Pelodiscus sinensis: one gene and its partner. The protein of the gene in region 1 interacts with the protein of each later gene in a biochemical or structural test. Links are inferred from orthologs where the notes say so. Each region holds a gene or a part of one and is shown on either strand. Other genes may lie near its edges. The genes, in order: AKAP1 and MYCBP.

Region 1 (9,772 bases):
TAGGTTGGATATTAGGAAAAATTATTTCCCTAGGAGGGTGGGGAAGCACTGGGATGGTTTACCTAGGGAGGTGGTGGAATCTCCATCCCTAGAGGTTTTTAAGTCCCGGCCTGTGACAAAGCCCTGGCTGCGATGATTGAGTTGGGTTGGTCCTGCTTTGGGCAAGGGGCTGGACTCGTTGACTCCTGAGGTCTCTTCCAGCCCTGGGATTCTATGAATGAGCAGGAATCCAACGTACAGTTCATATATATGGCCGTTCTCAGGACCGCTCAGCTCACACCCTGTATCCTCTTTCCCTAGCACACCAGCGTATGGTGCAAACTTCTCAACTGCTTAGATCTTGACAGCTTCTTCCCCTCCTCGTGGCACTTCTAGCCTTGCACATGTCAGTGTGTAAATACACCCCTGGGCGGGAATGCTTCCTGTGCTATAAGACTGTGCCTTGATTGTAAAGGGGAATTGGAACTATGGCATCAGGCCTGCCAATGGGGGGCGGGGGCGGGATGGAGGCAACTGCCCCAGGGCCCATTGATTCAATGGGCGGCTACTGTAGCAATGGTGGTGGCTGGAGCCCTGGGCCCTTTAAATTGCCACCGGAGCCCCACGCTGCACGCTCTGGTGGTGCTGAGGGCTGGTTGTGCTCCATCCCTCCCTTTCCACCTGAGGCCCCACCCCTTCTGGGAGCACAGAGCCGTGCCCCCCGCATCATCCCAAGGGGCCTGGCAATTCTCTCAGCTTCCCCCCCTTCCCCCGCACATGGCACCAGCTTTGCTGTGTAAATATTATTCTGGTTTTTCTGCACTTCTCACCATTCCTTTTTAGCGTGGCACCGATAAGATCACAGCTGGTAAATGTGCAGCACAGCTGCAAGCAACATTTGATCCATCACTCCTGCCTGCGTGACAGAGCCGCCACTAACAAAAACTGATGGATTAATCCCCACAGTAACCCTAAGGTATTGTTGTTGTTGCTGGTACTGTTATGTCCATTTTACGGCTGGGAGAACCGAGCTGTGCCTGAGGCTGCAGTGGGATTAATAGCTGCATTCATGGTCTGGAAGGCCATAAAGGTCTACTGTGGTCATCTAGTCTGACATCGCGTGTAGCACATGCCAAAGAACACCCCCCAGGAGTTGATGCATCAACCCCATAACTCTGCTTGAACTAGGGTGTTTATTGGAAAAAGAGATCCCATCTTGACTGAGAGACTTCAAGTGATGAAGAATCCACCACCAACATGGGGAGTGATTGATGGCACTGGGCTTAGTCTTCCTAACTCTGAGACTGTTTTCCTCCCCATGAAAAAGTCTGTACAAATAAAAGGTCTTTATTTTACACTTGTTACTGATTCAGAGCAATGGAAACAGACCAACCTTAGATTGAAAAAAACCCCCACAAATGCATGTGGCAATATTAATAATACTTAATTTTTAATGTAGCACTTTTCATCCCTGAATCACAGAAAAGTGAGATCTCTGTGCCTGTTTTACAATTAAGGAAACTGAGGCACGAAGCGGAAAAGTGACTTGCCCAAGGTCACACAGCAGGCTAGGGGCAGAGTAACATAAGAACCCAGGACTCCTGAGTCCAGGTCATGTGTTAGCTTTTGGACCACATTGTCTTCTACACTGTAACATAAAGAATTACCTACAGTGCTAAACTGGCTTATTGTAATAATTGATACATATTTCTCCTACTGAAAGTATTTTACAACCGCCGCTTACTTACTATTCAAAGGTAACCTTCTCTATGGTGAAATGGGCAACTGGTTAACAGTGCAATGTAACACAATCCAATGGGTCAAAAAAGGAAATGTATAAAATTTCCCATTAAAACAGAGGGCCTACCAAACTGGCAAGCAATAACTTTGCTAAAGATGGATTCTCCTTTAAGTTTTCCATCCCCATACTGATTCAGCCATAGCCTGCCATGTTCAGTGGCTGTAGTTGCTTGCTAATGTGTCTCTTAGTTTCACTTTTACAATGCTTATTGAAAAATGTGTACTTAGTCTGCAGAAAGTAAGTGTAAAGGGAGGATTTGGTACCAGCCTTCCACTACCTGTCCAGGAGGTTCCAAAGAGGATGGAGCCAGGTTGCTCTCAATGGTGATAGATGACAGAACTTGAGCAATGGTCTCAAGTTACAGTGAGGGAGGTCTAGGTTGGATATTGGGAAAAACTATTTCCCTAGGAGGGTGGGGAAGCACTGGGATGGGTTACCTAGAGAGGTGGTGGAATCTCCATCCCTAGAGGTTTTTAAGGCTTGACAAAGTCCTGTCTGGGGTGATTTAGTTGGGATTGGTTAAGCAGGGAGTTGGCCCTAGCTCTGATGCCCTATGCAGCCACCGTCCCTGAGGAGCAATGCAGGGCCAGGAGCTGTGGGAAGTAGACCCAGAGCTGTGGGGGCAGGAGCAAGGCAGGTTGGCAGCAAGAGTCATACCTGTTCCAGGCAGCACTCACCTGCAGCAACAGAGTGGAGCAACCCAGCCCCAGCCTCGTTATTTGGGTGAAGGGGTGGGAGGAGATGCAGCAGCGGTGGGAAGAGGCAGGTTGGGGCAGAGCAGGGGGCACTTAGGGAAGGGGTAGAGTGTGGTTGGAGCTGGAATGAGGTGAAGTGAGGTCGGGGGGTGTCCCAGGCTCCACACTCCTTATAGAGATGGCCCTACTGGGCACAGCCTATGGTGGGGGCCCTGGCTGCTGGAGCCCATACCTGCCTAGGGCACCATGAAATTTGGTGCAATTTGGTGCATATTTTGCATAGTGGTAGGAACGGCCTTGGTTGGACTAAGGTCTCCTGAGGTCTCTTCCAACCCTAATCGTCTAAGATTCCATAATGGCGTTGAGTTGTCACTGGCTGCTTGTTTGAACGGCACATTTAACGGTTTGATTTCTTTAGGTGATTGAACTGTGCCGCCTGTGTAGCACCGAGTATTTGAACACAGATAAACAAATTAATTAACATGAAGGGAAACACAAGGAGACAGTGAGCCATTTTTAGCTCTTCCAAGGAAGTGACTCAGATACCAGTGATGACTGAAGAAGGAGGCTTTGAGGAGGATGCCCGGACACTGTGAGGTACCTCGGACAGAAAGATTTAAACAGAGGAGCATATGTCCAGTTGTTAAAGGAGACTGAATCAGCGAATCCACCAGCCCAGAAGAGGACATGAAGTGAAGTGTTCTTTCCAAACTGGAGATGGGTGGGGGGGGAAAGGATGGGAGCTCCTTTATTTTGATACCCTCTGAATATTCCTGCTAGTCAGGGTGTCATGTGCACTAGGGCAAAGTGGATTATTGTAATAACCTCGCCAACTGTGCAGTGAAAGGCTACGTCTACACGATGAGTTTTCTTGGCAAAAAATATGCTAATGAGGGACTCATTTGCATGAGTCATTATCTCATTTGCATATTTTCTGCCAATCCGTTTTTGCGCTGAGGTTTTTGCACAAAAACAAGCAGTGTGGACATTTTTTGTGCAAAACCCCCACAAGATCCTTATGCCCCCCAAAAGGAGGTATACTGATAGCATATTTTTTGCCAAGAAAACTCGTAGTGTAGACGTAGCCTCAGAGCGCACACTAGCGTCCAAGTTCCCTCCAAGTCAGGGGTCTCAATCTCAATTTACCTTAGGGCCAGTGCCAGGCCTCAAATTCTCCTAGTGTGCACTTCTCTGACAGGGCTCTGAGTGGGGGGGAGTGTCTCCTCGTGTTCACCCCCACACACACATCTCCTAGCCCTGCCTGCCAGCCCAGGCACTCCCCTCTCCCCCCCCCCCGGTGTGTCCCCCAACCCCACTTGCTGCCCCCAAGTGATTTTAACATCCCACCAGGGACTCCCAGCACCACCCCCAGTAGGGCAAGAGCAGGTTCCAGTCACGAGCTCTGCCCCACATCCCTGTGTCCCGGGGGAGGTGTGTGCAGAACCATCCATAGGATGGTTGGGCATGGTCACTTTGGGGAGCCCGGCCGTGGCCACCCCAACCTATGAATGGGATGGTTCCCCATTCTCGGGTGAGGCGCTCTGCTTCCTGCCGCCGCTGGCCTGGGGGATGGCAGCGGAGCAGAGCCGAGGCTGCTGCGTCGCTCCACTTCCCCGCAGCTCCTGTTGCCATGGTGAGTGCGGGGGGCCCAATCCCTGCTGCTACCCCACGCCAGGCCTCCTGTGATCCCCGAGGCCCCGTTCCTTAGGGGAGGAGGTTGGGGGAGAAGGAGCAAGGGTGGGAAGAGGCCTCGTGGGGGGTGAAGCAGAGACTGGACTTGAGGGAAAGGCTTGGACATTCTCCTCAGGGCTGCAGGGACTCACGTGCCAGCAGCCGTGTGAGGGCCAGGCCGTGGTACTGCTCGGGCCCCTGGGCCGTGAGTCCGAGCCCCCTGTTCTAAGCTGTGCAGCTGCCTATTAAATGACACACGGACATTCGCCTCGGACCTGCTGCTATACCCCTTCCCCAGCCCTGCCATGGCAGGTGTGTGTGTAGGGCAACAGGTGCCCCTCCACCGACTCCACCCCTACTGTAGCCAGGGGACAGGCACCCTGACCATGACCCAGCCCAAACCTGTTGTAGCCAGGGGAGGGGTCCCCTCCTCCCCGTCAGCCCCAGTCCTGCTACAAGGAGAGTTAGAGAGTGTGTGTGTCTTTACTCCCCACTGTAGCCTCAGGGCAGCCTGCACCCCAAACCTCTTCTCCCTAGCACCACTCAGCCTGCACCCTGAGCCAGAACCCTCCCCCCTGCACTCCAGTCCTCTGCCCCAGCCCTTCGTCCCTGGCTCCACCTTGAATCCATAACCCTCCCCCCCCCACCACCCCGGCCAGAGCCATCACATTCCCCTCAACCAACATGCTGAATGCCTATTAAATGCCCCCCCCCCCCCCCCCCCGCCACAGGAATATTTTTAAGTGCACCAATATGGAGACGATGTGTCACACCATATTGGTGCACATAACAAAATTCATTCCTCATGTGGGTGTGAAAAATGAGAGGGAACACTTAGAGTGTCCACCCAGCCATCCGGCTGGGGCTAATTCCCAGCTCAAGGAGACGGACTGCTGCTGTCCTCCAGCTACTGCACTCAAAATAGAACATAGCCCTGGTCTGCCCTGGCAGCACCAGCTGTGGGATGGTCACGGGTCTCCCCAGGGCACATAGTACTTGAGAGGCTCAGGAGCTCAGCCCAGGGGTCTGGGTGAGTGATGGGGGGAGAAGAAGGGAGGTGTATATTGCCAAGATCTGGTGCCAGAGTGGGGCATAAATTTCAGAACTCACGATGCAACTGGCACCCCCCTCTTCAGCTTGGTTTCTATCATATGCACCAGGGGTGGGGAATCTTTTTTGGGTCGAGGGGGCGGGGGCTGACCCACAGAAAAATCAGTCGGGGGCCACACACAAGTGAAAAGTGAAGCGGGTGCCACCCAGCTGGTGAGCAGAGCACCCACAACGACCCGCAGCCAGCAGCATGTTGTTACTACTTGTAGTGCACATCCACGCGTGCCCTGGTGCACAGAACAAAATTTATTCCACGCATGGATTGGAAACAACTCAGAGGGCACATTGGTGGGAGATCGGGGCAAGGGATGGGGGGTTCAGAGGGGCAGGTCAGGGGTGGGGGCGGGGCGGAAGGTGAGGAGGGGCAGAGGGTGGGGGCCGGGTGCAGGAGCACAGACTCCACGTGCTCTCCCCTGTGCTGTACCCTTGGGGGAAAGGCGTGTCCCACAGGCGCATGCGCAGCTGCTTCCCGCTCCCCCTCCCCCACCGCCGCCAAGTAAGTCGGGGCCGGCTGAATGGCACTCGCCGGCAGGTCTCGCGAGATGTGGCTGCCTCGCGCCGGGGGGCGGGGCGTGCGGGCCTTAGTGTAGCGGTTGAATGTCTCAGTGTTCGGACGGGCCCGGTCGGGCAGCACGTGGGGGCAGCGCGGCTGGCGGGGAGCGGCCGGGGTGGGGGCAGGGCACGGCGCGCACGAGGGCTCTGCACCGGGGGCGGCGAGCACCGGACGGATCGTGAGTACCGGGGCCGGGCCGCGTTCCCCGGGGGGGCGGCAGCCGGGCGTGGAGCCGCCGCCTTGTGTGGGCTGAGCGCCGGGGAGCAGGCGCCAGCGTGGTAGGGCAGCTGTCAGCTCTCGAGGGGCAGCCCCCTCCCCCCTGCGCCGTGTGCTGCCCGGCTGCTACCCCCGCCCGCCCGGGGTCACCCCTGCCCCCTGTGCTGCCAGACTGCCAGCCCCCCCTCGCCCGCCCGGGGTCACCCCTGCCCCCTGGGCTGCCAGACTGCCAGCCCCCCCTCGCCCGCCCGGGGTCACCCCTGCCCCCTGTGCTGCCAGACTGCCAGCCCCCCCTCGCCCGCCCGGGGTCACCCCTGCCCCCTGGGCTGCCAGACTGCCAGCCCCCCCTCGCCCGCCCGGGGTCACCCCTGCCCCCTGGGCTGCCAGACTGCCAGCCCCCCCTCGCCCGCCCGGGGTCATCCCTGCCCCCTGTGCTGCCAGACTGCCAGCCCCCCCCTTGCCCGCCCGGGGTCACCCCTGCCCCCTGGGCTGCCAGACTGCCAGCCCCCCCCTTGCCCGCCCGGGGTCACCCCTGCCCCCTGGGCTGCCAGACTGCCAGCCCCCCCTTGCCCGCCCGGGGTCACCCCTGCCCCCTGGGCTGCCAGACTGCCCACGTGGTGTCACCCCAGCCCTCCCCCTTACCCGCCTGGGGTCACCCCTGCCCCGTGTGCTGCTTGACTGCCCACGTGATGTCACCCCCGCGCCCCCCCCCTTGCTCGCCGGGGTCACCCCAGCCACGTGTGCTGCCAAACAGACTGCCCACCCCTGCCTGGAGTCACCTTTTCCCTGCTGCCCTGGGTGGTGCGACAAGATAGCCCCTTTGTCTTTGCTGCCTCATGTGCTGTCAGACTTTCCCTTCCCTTCTGCCCTGGGGCTGGCTCCTATCCAGCTGCCCTTTCTTAACTCCCCTCTCCCTGTCTGATTCTGCTGTGTACCTCCCCACTCCTAGGAGTGCAGCCCCCTGGAGCTCCAGGCACTGGCTTGTTGCTCATGTGTCCCTTGTTGGTTTGGGGAACTTTTTCCCCACTCGCTTCTTGGCAGAGGTGCGATCAGCCCAGTATGGCCAGCGTGGTGCTTGTCATGGAATTACAGGACTGGAAGGAACCTTGGGAGGTCATTGAGAGGCCATTGAATGGTTCTTTTGCCCCATTTGTATCCCCTTTCCTAACTATCTGTAGCAGGTAGTGGCTTTGCTACTGTGAATGGGATAGCGTGCACAGTATACTGGTGCTGTGAGTTAATGGCACAGTATGTGTCCCGCTTAGGCAGCAAGTCTGGCATTGTTGTGCCAAGGGTGTATTATTAAGAGTCTTTTCTTTACCCTAAGAGGGTGATGGTGGTGTCAGCTTTGAACAGTCACAAGGTTGTGTGTGTAGTGACTCCCTGACCCTTGATACGGAGGCACCTATTAGTGGGATTGCAAACCTGCAACAGGGCTGGCTGTGCCACTTGAAAAGAGTATGAGATGAGCTGTCCTTTATCTCTGGCAGTTAGAAGGTGTCAAGATGCTTTCTGTCCTGTTGGCATTTGCAGAGAAATGACCTGAGCTGCTTTTTCTCAAGGTCACTCACACTCCTATGGATTTATTCTTTTAAAGGTCATGTATACCCAGACTGAACAGGTAGTGTGCTGCAGGAAGCAACCTGAGCACCACATCAGGCCTAGCTCGAGGAGGGCTGGGGAGTTTGCTTCTTGTTCTAACAACTAGCATAGGTCACCGCTTTCTGCTCCGGAGCTGGTGGGTGAAATGGGAACTTCACCCATCTTCGTGCTGCCAAGTCTGTACACTTGGCTCATGCTCCTTTGAGCTCAGATCACCTCCCTGTACTTGTTTCAACTAGAAAAGAAGTGCTTCTGGGCCTCTGGGTGCAGCCTTATTTAGTGAAAGTGAGTGACGGGGCAGGCATGTACCTGCTGCTGTTGCCGATGTGACATGGCAAACTAACCCACGCTGTCTGGCTTGATGGCGCTTACATGAGACGAGCTAATCAGTGTGCAATCTCAGTCAGGTCTTGTTCAGCGTGGCTTTGATGGCTCTTGAACCGCGGCTTTTGGACTTGCCCCTTGGAGAAAAAGAAGCCAGTCTTCCCTCCTAAGAGTTGCAGTGTTTGAGACATGCAGTAGCCCAGAGCAGGCAGAGTTGCTTTCCACGGAAAGTCCCTCCCTCAATAAAAACCCCTCAAAGCCCAACGTTCTTTAAACCGATTAAGGCCAAAAAGAAACCAGCAATGAAATCCTGACCCCGTTGAAGTTGGTGATAAAATTCCCATTGGATTCCACAGTCAGGATTTACCCTCTTGTCTGCTTGAACTGATCCATAGGTGAGCAAATTAAGTGAAGACTCTTTTAAACCATTGCAGAGCTCTTACAACTCGTTAAAAGGCAGCTGGAAGACTGGTCTAAATTACATTAGCCGCTCAGCTGTAAAATTAATGGGTAGGTAGATGAGAATCAGTTGGTGTCAGTTGTTGTATATGCTGATTCAGAGTTTCCTACCAGTGTGTAGATCTATTTCTGTAATAGAAAGTGAATCTGTAATTTTTCAATATCTGTGTGTGTTAGCCACTATCTAACTGTCTTAACTCCACTGAAGTCTTAGCTCTCGATGTTTTGTTGGGGAAATACTAGCTGTTGGCTCTCAGAAATACGCTGTTGGGCAGACTGACAGTCTGTGGTTGATGTGATTTCAGGTTCGTTGGGAGCTGTGTTGCAACAATTTAAAACCGAAAGTGAGGGTTGACGTAAGTATTAGTTGTGGAATTGCTAGTGTAGTCTAGCCTATCTCTTCTGTTTGTACAGCACCTAGCATAATGGGGCCCTCCAGGCGCTACCAGAGAGTAAACAAACTATAATTAGCTGACTCTTCTCTCACTTGTGCAATCTAATGTTTATAAGTCTAATATATAGCTAGAGGATGCAGCGAGCAAGGGAGGAATTATGTTGTAGCATAATCCAGCAGTATTTTATTAGCCTGCGTGCCGTGTTTCTTTCAACTCAAGTAAAAAATGTGAATGGGAGTTTTTCCAGTATCTTCATGAGCTTTGAACAAGTAGACTTGTGCCTGGAATGGTAAACAATCATGGCAGTTTTGCTAGGAGGCAGCTGCCATTCTCCATAGAGAACACAGGGTATCTGTAGGATGTATAATAGGGGAGTCTCTATCTTACTGCCCCCACTTCACTGGACACCTTTACAGCAACCAATCCATAGTACTATGAAATAGTAAAGGATAGGTGCGCTGTACCACAGGTCATATTGTTAAGGAAGAGTCAAGGACAGCTGAACAAAAGTGACTTACATGCTTTTGACTTTGTGTATCTAGGGCTTGGGTGACTTATGCTGCTGCTCCAACACCTACCAGGTGTTATCAGAATGCTGTGAACTTTGTCTTAGGGGAAAAGAAAGGACTTGTGGCTGAGGAAGGTGGTAGCAAGAGTCGCTAACTTCACGTTTCTCCTGTTTGTTTTGTGCCGGTGAATGATCTACAGAGTTACAGCCAGGCAAGTGCCCAGAGTGGAATGGGAAAGAAAGCATATGACTTGGCAGAGCTTGGCACGGTGACTGCAGGATGATAGCTGGGAATTCTGAGGACCTGGCTGCAGCATTGCCCATCTTGTAGTGTTGGAGAGCCTGTATTGCATATGTTTCGTATTGCAATGGAAAGGTTTTTTCTATTGCTGTGGATAATCCCCCTCCCCAAGTGGCAATGGAGTTCTTCCATCGAACTAGCTGCGCTACGTCAGGGGG
Region 2 (10,325 bases), on another chromosome or scaffold:
GGAAATAGAGGCATTACTGGACACCCCTGTAGCGTGAGTTGTAGCTTTTTGTCATTGTAGCTAAGTCAATCATTTTTCTCCAGCTCTTTTGGAGTATGTCTCCACAGCAGTGTTATTTGGGAATAATTGACGTTATTCCAAAATAACATAGTGCTCATCTTCACTACAAGCCTTTATTTCGAAATAATGTTGAGCTGGAGGACTTCTTACTCTGACTCCTGGTAACCCTCATTTCAGAGGAGTAAGGGAAGTTGAAGGAAAAGTGTTCCTCCTTCGACTTCCTGCTGCGTACACAGCGCCAAAAGCTAAATTAAGCTATTTTGACTTAAGCTACAGAATTGACGTAGCTGAGGTTCTGTAGCTTAATTCGACTTTTGCCCTGCTGTGTAGACGTACTCCTACTGAGGTAATGCAAAGAACTGTGCGCTCTTGTGCAGTAGTTGATAAACACTCGTGAAATAAGAAATTGGTTCTACTTTCGCGTAATAAAAAGATGACTTAAAATCGAATAGATCTAATATCTCCATTATCTTTCCTGTTCCTAAATCAAACAGTCACTTTTAATTTAACCCAGTAATTCCTGTATCAAGTCCATGTAAGGCAAGCCTCAGATCAATGGATCACTGCAATCTAAACAGACTTTTTTTTTTGAGGGAGTGAGAGTTATGTATGTGTGTGGAGACCTTGTGCCTCTTCATTACCTTTTTTTCATCCTCACTTCCACATAGCTCCATGACAGAGGAACTGTGCTGACTGGGCCTCGCTTGCTGCATTTGCCCCTGAATAGCACTGTAGTGGGGTTTCACATAGTTTTATATGATATATGTGTTTTATTTTAGGGAGGAAATACTGAAAAGAATGGACAATTACTACCCCCTTTCTAGATCGGTGCAGTCCAAATTCCATGAAGAACCTGTGAAATACAAAAGTGTTTATGTGAGGCTGGGGAGAAGTGAGGACTATGCCACGTAGCCTGTAGGCTCCCAGGAGTAGCCTGAGCTGCTTAGCTGGCAAGAGTGGAAATATTTTCAGCCCTCTCTCTGACTAAACAGCAGAGCACAAAAAACAAACTCCCCTCTCCCCAAAACCAGAAAAGCTAAGTGATGACACAGCCTGCAGGAAAATTGGTGCCCAGAGTGATTGCTTTGCTCACCCACTCTTAGAACTGACAATACATGCTTTCTTCAGTGCCTCCCTGAATCAAATTCCCATGTTTGAGCAGCATTTGCATCACTGATAGTGCCACATAAAGGTTAAAACAATAACAAAAAACAAAAGGTAGGAAATGGAACAGTCATTTATCTTTTAGCATTAATCATGTTGTACATGCTGAAGTTTTAACCATTCTTGACTACCTTGTTAAATCTTAGTTTTTTTTCTTTGGTACCTATCACTTTAGCATCTGAGGTAAATACATATTTGTATATTATTGTGTTGATATTGCTAAATGACTACCTTATTAAAGACAAAAAGGGCAATATGTTTGAGTTAACAGTCATGTAGTAATCTTAACTTTTTCATTTTCTGATTTAAAATTTTAATTGGGTATACTTAAATTTGCAATAATGTGTTTTTAAAGAAAAAAATAACTATGCTTAGTGCACTCCTTTTTGCGCTGTATAAATAATACATTAGTAGCCATAATGTTACTTTTTAAATAGTCCCAATTGGGGTTTGAAGCTCTCATCTCAATTCACTGAATTGTGCAGAAGTCTGTCAAAGAGTTTACAGCCTGCTGCTTCTTTCGGGAGAATGTATGACTCACATAGTAATGACTGCACACAGTATCTTTGAAAAGGAAAAACAAACATGAAATTTAGCTAAAATTAAAACTTAAGAATTTGCACAATATGGCAGAAGGCAACAGAATCTTTTGTAAGACACAACTATACAAACAATGGGTTTGTTATTTTTACATCCCTGCTAATGATTCCTAGATCTTATAGGCTGCATCTACATTGCAACGCTATTTCAGGATACTGGAGTATTCCGAAATAACTATCCCGCATCTTCACAGCAAGCCCATTATTTTGGGCTCGCTATTCTGAAGTCCCTGTAAAACTCATTCCACGAGGAGTAATGGACATTTCGGAATAGCGGATTATTTTGAAATTTGGTGCTATGCAGACAGTGCTAAATTACGAAATAAGCTATTTCAAAATAAGATTGAAATAAGAGACGCAATTTGCGTAGCTCAAATTGAACATCTTTTTTCTAACTATGGTGCAGTGTAGATGTAGTCATATAGTGCTTTTCATCAGTATGCCATGAAGCACTTTACCAAGGAGATAAGTATAATTATCCCATTTTACAAATGGAAACATGGAAGGTAAGGCACTATTTTTTGAAAGGTATTTGAGTGTGCATAATTCTTTGGTCCCCTTGCATGATGCTCTCAGCTGAAACTTATTCCCCATAGTGGTGGAAATATTTCAGTCATATTATTCTGCAAACCTGGTTATGATATCAAAGTGAACATTATTTACATGCCAGGTGTCAAAATTCATCTACTTTTGTGTTTGTGAGGGAATGATTTCTTTTATAGAGGATGAGGGAATAATTTCTTTTATAGAGGAGGAAAGCATTCCATTTAAGTCTTGTAATACAAAATAATTAAGTTGAACTTTTTTTTTTCACCCTATGTGAAACCATATGTGAGACCTGATCCAAAGCATATTGAAATCAATGAAAGCTTTTCCATTGCCCTCAATGGGCTTTTGATCAGGCCTTTAAGATTATAGAAACGTATGTTTGGAAGGAATGGAGAACAGTTATCTAGTTCAGATGCGAGGATTGCCAACTTTCTAACTGCACAAACCAAATGCCCTTGCCCTACCCCTCCGCTTCTCTGAGGTCCCATTCCCAGCCTCTGTTGGTGGCACTCCTGCACCCTCACTCACTTTAACTGGGATGGGCAGGGATTGAGGGTGCAAGAGGGAGTGTGGGGTACAGGCACTAGGAGGGAGATTGGGTATGGGAATGGGCTCAGGACTGGGGGTAGGGGGTTGGGTTGTGGACTTCATGAGCAGGCTTGGAGCTGGGATAGGAGTTTGAGCTGTGGGAGAGTTAGAGAGCAGCAGGTTCAGGGTGAAGGCTCCAGTGCTTACCTCCCACAGCTCCTGTTCTGTGGTGCAGTGGGGCTAAGGCAGGCTCCCAAAAGCAGTTAATGGATGGGTGCTTCTCAACTTTGAAAAGTTTATGTTTTGGTTATTTATATTTTTAACTAAATATTTATAACCAAAACATAACTTTCTATAAAAATAGCTGCAGAAGGGGCATTGGGGCTTGGAGTTGAGGAAGAGAAAGGCATTTGACTATACAGAATTTTCTGCAAACTTTCCTCTCAAAAGGAAGGAGCTTGGGGGCTTATGGTGACTGAGGTATGGAGGCAGGATGAGGACCCCAAGTTCTGGAGAGTGTTAGAGCCACTTTGCTGCTATTTTGAACATACCGACTCTCTGACAGCACATGTTCCCAGTGCCTATACATAACCACTCTGCAAGCAGCATTAAGTCCTATGCAAATGAGGGGATACCTGCTACCTTTGGGGGTGATAATACTGTGTTCAGCAGACCCCACTCACAGACATGGACAGCGGAAGAATGGGCCAGTTGTCAGGGTATTGAGAGAACCCAATCCCCTGTTCAGCTACCAATTTCCTGTGTGACCTGTTCAAGGCACTTAATTTGTCTGTGCCTCATTTCCCAAATGGTACAATAGGGATGATTGTTATGGTTTGGATCAGAGATTCTCTCTAAACTCACAGGATGGGCTGATTGTACCACTGAACCCATCCACCTGCCCTCTGGGGCGCCCCACCACCCTGTCCTACTGGGACAGAAGCTCCGTTCCTCCCCCTCCTCCCCAGCAGCAAAGGCACAGAGTTGGGTAACAGCCCCCCTTGGAGAACAACACAGACTCGTCAGCACCCAGCACAGCCCCGCATGGATCCACATCCCAAATCAATCTGTCTTACTTCTAACCATGCCTATTACAAGATCAAGATCAAGAATACATATTCCTGTTCATCCAGAAATATAATTTATGCCATCATGTGCCTAAAGTGTCCATCTGCTATGTTCATTGGACAAACTTCTCAGACACTTCGCCAAAGAATCAATGCACACAAAACAGACATAAGACTTTCTCACAAAGAGAAAGCTGTTGCTTGCCATTTCAGCCAGACTGACCATTCCCTCAATGACCTTAAAACATGCATATTGCTTCAAAGAGACTTTAACTCCAGACTTCAAAGAGAAGCTTCAGAATTGTCATTCATGCTTAAATTTAGCTGTCTACACTGGCCGCTTGAATTTCCACAAGAACACTGACTTCCTACTGTCTGAAATCAGTGCTTCTTGCGGAAATGCTATGCTGCTACAGTGTAGACAACGTGGTATTGTTTTGCGCAAAAAAGCCCCAATGGCGAAAATGGCGATCGGGGCTTTCTTGCGCAAAACCGCGTCTAGATTGGCCACGGACGCTTGTCCGCAAAAAGTGCTTTTGCGGAAAAGCGTCCTGCCAATCTAGACGCTCTGTTCCGAAAATACTTTTAACAGAAAACTTTTCCGTTAAAAGCATTTGCAGAAAATCATACCAGTCTAGAGGTCGCCAGAGAAAGCTCATAGAGTTCGCCCCCCCCTTATCAATGAGACACACAGCTGTGGCTCCCCCCAACAATTATTTAGACTGGGCTGAGGGACCAGCCGGGGGGCGGGGTCAGAGGGAAGGCGGGAGAGGCACCGGGAGGGAGGGAGGAAAGAAAGAGGGGCCAGGCGGGGGGCGGGGCCAGAGGGAAGCCGGGCTGAGCGACCAAGCGTGGGGCGGAGCTGCGGGAAGGTAGAAAGAGGGACCGGGCTGAGAGGCTGGGCGGGGCCAGAGGGAAGGCGGGAGGAGGGGCAGGCTGAGCGGCCAGGCAGGGGGCGGAGCTGAGGGAAGGCGGGAGGAGGGACCAGGCTGAGAGGCTGGGCGCGGCCAGAGGGAAGGCGGGAGGAGGGGCAGGCTGAGCGGCCAGGCAGGGGGCGGAGCTGCGGGAAGGCGGGAGGAGGGGCCGGGCTGAGCGGCCAGGCAGGGGGCGGAGCTGCGGGAAGGCGGGAGGAGGGACCAGGCTGAGAGGCTGGGCGCGGCCAGAGGGAAGGCGGGAGGAGGGGCCGGGCTGAGCGGCCAGGCAGGGGGCGGAGCTGAGGGAAGGCGGGAGGAGGGGCCGGGCTGAGCGGCCAGGCAGGGGGCGGAGCTGCGGGAAGGCGGGAGGAGGGACCAGACTGAGAGGCTGGGCGGAGCTGAGGGAAGGCGGGAGGAGGGGCCGGGCTGAGCGGCCGGGCAGGGGGCGGAGCTGAGGGAAGGCGGGAGGAGGGACCAGGCTGAGAGGCTGGGCGGAGCTGAGGGAAGGCGAGAGGAGGGGCCGGGCTGAGCAGCCGGGCAGGGGGCGGAGCTGCGGGAAGGCGGGAGGAGGGACCAGGCTGAGAGGCTGGGCGGAGCTGAGGGAAGGCGGGAGGAGGGGCCGGGCTGAGCGGCCAGGCAGGGGGCGGAGCTGAGGGAAGGCGGGAGGAGGGGCCGGGCTGAGCGGCCAGGCGGTGGGCGGGGCTGAGGGAAGGCGAGAGGAGGGGCCGGGTCGAGCGGCCAAACGGGCGGCAGACACAGCTGGCGGAGAGGGCCAAGGCCGCGGAACAGAAGCTGGGGGCGGGGCGGGGCCGCGTGCTAGCGTCACCCGTCTCCCTAGGAACAGATGGGACGCGGCGTGCCTTCCCCGCCCCCATAAAACCCCCGGGGCGCATGCGCGCTTAGCGCAGCGGCGGCGGCGTCTCGGCCGGGATGGCGCACTTTAAGGTGCGGGGCAGCGGCTGCTCTTCGGGCTCCGCGGGAGCCGGGGGCGGGGTGTCCCCGCTGGCTGCTCCCCGCTAACGCTGTCCCCTCCTTTCCGCAGGCCGCGGACTCCAAGCGGGAGCAGTTCCGCCGCTACCTGGAGAAGTCCGGCGTGCTGGACACGCTCACCAAAGGTAACGGGCCCGCGCCGCCTTCTCAGGGGCCTCGCGCTCCCCCCCCCCCCCCGCCGTCCGCTCCCCCGGGGCCCTTCTCTGCCCCGCCCCCTGTAGCCGAGGGCTCGCCCCGCTTCCACAGCTCTGACCCGCCGCCACGCCCTTAGGGGGCCCCTAGACTCGCGGGGGGGGGGTCATCGGGTCCAACCCCCCCGGGGAGTTGGGGCTCAAGTGACTCGCCCAGCAGAAGCAGGGATCCGATTCGGTTCTTCCGGGAGATCCTGCACCCTGAGACTTACTCCCTTCTTCTTCCTGTAGTCTTGTGCCTGACTTGCTGCACGCTGTTGGGCCGCTGCAACAGGGGTGGGGAGCCTGTCGCCTGTCTGGGTTCTGTGGGTGGCCCACGAGACCTCTTGTCGTGCTTGTGTGGCGTTCCCCTGGCTTCCATCTGTGGAGTAGTCCTCCTACTATTACTGAAGCACCATGCACCTCCAGCAAAGGTACCCGGAGTGAGGTGCCTGCTGACTGCACACAACACTGACTGAGCGAGCCCTGCTCTCCCTATGCATCCAGGCAAAGTGCTGATGTTGTTCAGTTGGTGCACCCCACGAATTCTTGGTACACAAGTACAGTTAGCAAACTGTTAGTTACCACTACCCTATCCCAGGAGACCACCTTGCTGCTTATGACAATCTTGTGGTCCACTGAGATGGAGGGATGCTCAAGTCGGCCCATTCACTAGGTTGCCCATCGCTACTCTATATCAAAGGAGGCAGGGTTCTTGTACAGAACAGCTCATTCACTGCAAAGTTCTGTTTGATTCCCCAACGAGGCAGAAGTCCTGTTTATTCCTCTAATGTATGTATAGCGTTCAGTCATATCAGTTTTGTGTTGCCTGGATGTAGCAGGGCAGAGTTGAGAGCACAGAAGAGTTTCTTTGCTCTTGATTCCTGTGCTCAGCACTGCTTGTGGCACCCAGCAATTAAGAGGAGAAATTGCAAGGAAAGTCCTGATCCGTCTTCAACTCAGAGATGGAGCAGGCTTAGAGCACATTGAATTTGGAAAAATTTAGCCAACAAAGCATAACTCCTTCTCCTGAGCAATTTCTTGAATCTCTATAATTTGGGCAGGGTTGTAGTAGGGATTGCAAAAGGCATACCTCTTAACAGCAAGGCCATCCGTACTGCTAAGTGCAGAGGCAATATAGCTTCTTAATCAAATAGGTGTAAGAATTTTTAGCATGGGCAAAACAAAATTTTTGCCTTAATTTCGTTCTTGGAAACAGCTGAACTGTTGGGTACAACTTTCAAAAAAACTTCAACATGAGGCATGGGCATGTATATAAAATTTCAGTCCAAATGGGCAAACTGGAAAATGAACTACAAGCAGGGTCTTAATGGAAGTTATTAAGCAACCTTACGTATAGGTCTTAACTATCAGCTCTGGCTATAAACTGTTGTGGAAGTACCCAAATCCCCATATATGGATTGGGATGACATTGGGCTAAACATAGAAAATCTTAAAATTTCTTCACAGGTATAGCTTACAATCTAAGGAAGTCAAACAATATACAAAGAATTAGAGGCAATTAAATATTTCTCTGTATTTTTAGTCTTGTAATTATATGAATATTCACTTCCTCAGCCTATAAATTACACACAAGCCATATTCATTTTGGCTTCATCTAAATCCAGAAATCGAAGAATGAATTAATCCACTGGAGAACATAACATAATGCTGGCTCAAGTTCACTTGAGGATAGGGATGTAAAATCACATTTGGTTAACTGGTTGAATGGAGCAAGTGGAGGGGGAGGAGGGAAGCAGCTATAGCCTCCACCAAAAGTCATACCCCTACTTGAGGATTCAGTCCACAAAGCAGTAAAAAATGAATATTTCAAAGTTTGTGCCACATGGCTGTCTTTGGTTCAAAGTACAAGTTGAGTATCATATTCAATGTAATACTGAGTGCACCTGGAGATGAGCACAACGTGATGAAGCCAAATGTTGTACTGTAAGTGCAAGCTACGATCCTGAGACACTATTTAGGATTCTTGCTTCAACTCTAGAAGCAAAGCAGCAGGTTGTGGAATTTGTTTCCACCTCCAACTCCTCCTTCCTCCTCCTTAGTGTAAAGGTGGCCTGGTGATGGAGAAGAATACTGAGTTTCCAAACTCATTAAAGGAGACCCTGGCTTTGGTTTAGGGATGTTAAATATTGGTTAATTGAATAGTTGAGTAACTTCATGAATTCTTATTTATTAGTCAACTATTCTATAGTTCATAGAGGTGATGCTAGCAGCTAGTGCAATCCGACTAGACTCCCAAGGAGTGCTGCTGCTGCCTCTGTGGGGTGCCAGGCAGGAACTGGTCTGTGGGGGGAGCCAGTTTAAAAATCATCTCCCCTCGTGGATCGGCTGCCCATCACCCTGTGCTGCTGTCTCTGAGATCTTGGACCCAGCGCAAGCTGGAACTGATCTTGGCTGCCTGTCTGCGTACAAATACACTTTAAATGCAGAGCCACCTCAGTTGGTAGGGCCTGGACATGTTGCAAGCCAGGACTGAGCCGGGCTGCTGGCCAGCCTGCTAAAAAATATACTGGCAAGGGGGTGAGGAGGAAAAGGTGTGTAGTCTATAGCATTAACCTATAAGCTTCTGATTATTGGTTGACTACACTATTACATCCCTACTTTGTCTATGCTAGAGAGGTCTAGGGAAGAGGTCTCCTATTGGCTTAATTACTCCAGCCCTTGCAAGCAGTGGTAGCTATATCTGCAAAAGCTCTTCTGCTCATATAACTTCCGTTTTTGAAGTGGTTGTGTTGTTCATGGGGGTGGCTATTTTACTCCGCTGAGCAACATAACTTATGTTGTTGGGTATTTAAGCTATAGTGTAGCCATAGCCTTAAATTACCTTCATTATAAGACAAGTCACAGATGTGATTGTGGGCAGCTACTTCAGTGGGTAGAGAATGTGTGTCCAGGAACTCTTACTAAAAAATTTAGATCAGTTTTTAGAACATAACTGCTTGAAAGCACTGTTCTTGTAATGTTTGTTTTCAGAAATTATTGCAAATACTTAGCTTTATGGTTCATTAAAGAATTGTTGGAAAAAAGCTTATTCAGAATAATTCCAGTTATATAACTGCAATCAAGCTTATGTGGATGCACATGCATCTTAATAGTACTCTGCATGATCATTAATAATAGTACTCTGCATGATCATTAATATTTGTTCATTGTCCTAATTTTTGACTGTAATACAAGCTAGCTTTGTTTTAATGTTTATTCTAAAGGTGATGTTTCACGAATCTGAAAGCAATCCTTTTTACATCTCAAATTACCTTTGACTATTGGCACGTGCTTCATAAATTGAACTGTTTAGAAAGTTTCTGCTTTCATCTGTTGGATGTTTTTTACTTACAGTGTTGGTAGCCCTTTATGAAGAGCCAGAGAAACCAAATAGTGCACTGGAGTATCCTTTTTCTTCCTGTGAATTGATGAGGCAAAAGATGGAAGCCTAGTCCAAGAAGGATACTAGTTTGTCTCCAAATTATAAGTAAACAAAATATTTTTACTTATTTAATATTAGTAGACTTATCTGGTGTTGCCTGGATCCTTTAGGGCAGGGGCTGGTTATGGGGGGGTGGGGGTGGGGAAAGGGGGAGTGCATGGGGCAGGGAGGTGTAAGAGTGAGGTTTGGGGGAATCAAGAGGGGCTTAGGGAAGGGATTCCATCTGGCAGTGGCATTTTTCTGATTCCCTTCCTCCCCTACCCCCATTGGTGCTGTGGCCAAAGGGAGGAGGTGGTTAGGGCAAGGAGGATACTTACCCATGCTGGCTGCTCCCTTGGTGGTACAGCTGCTCCCAATGGATATGCTTCCGGATAACTCTTCCTCTGCAAGCTTGCTGCCCCTAGTGGCCACTCTGTATTGCATTCTTCCCATAGCATATTATGGAAAACTGTCCTTTCCTGAGACTGCCAGTTGTCTTGGCACAGCCACACCCTGACCTTGCTTTAAGTTAGGAGAAGAGGAGGCTACATACCAAGTTTGGTGGCCCTAGCTAATAACATCATTTATGAGGAGTCCTTGAACAAACGGGCTTGCAGACAGAGATTATATATAATATAAAAACAGTAAAAGCTTTAGGGAATTAGCACTCAGTCAGCCAAATAAAATAGAGAACTGGAAATTTAACTCTTGCATGATGAAGTACTTACTACCAACAGCCTGATGCTTTTGGCTCATCTAACCTGGTGGTATTTGTTTTTGGCAGTGGCTGATGCTTAATAGAAGACTTGCATCTGTATTAAGCATTTTTATAGGTGGTTTTGCATAGGAATTCCTGTGGT

Evidence for each region.
Region 2: the proteins of AKAP1 (region 1) and MYCBP form a complex in vitro, tested with the Homo sapiens proteins (2 studies listed by BioGRID). The link is inferred for Pelodiscus sinensis from reciprocal best matches to the Homo sapiens genes AKAP1 and MYCBP.

Annotation. Positions count from the first base shown.
Region 1 is NC_134731.1:10,349,108-10,358,879, reverse strand, and holds the start of AKAP1 (A-kinase anchor protein 1, mitochondrial), read left to right. Parts: upstream 1-5,829; 5' UTR 5,830-5,987; intron 5,988-9,772.
Region 2 is NC_134735.1:11,658,043-11,668,367, reverse strand, and holds the start of MYCBP (C-Myc-binding protein), read left to right. Parts: upstream 1-5,590; 5' UTR 5,591-5,811; coding exon 5,812-5,826; intron 5,827-5,923; coding exon 5,924-5,996; intron 5,997-9,398; coding exon 9,399-9,447; intron 9,448-10,325. UniProt on the Homo sapiens protein: May control the transcriptional activity of MYC. Stimulates the activation of E box-dependent transcription by MYC.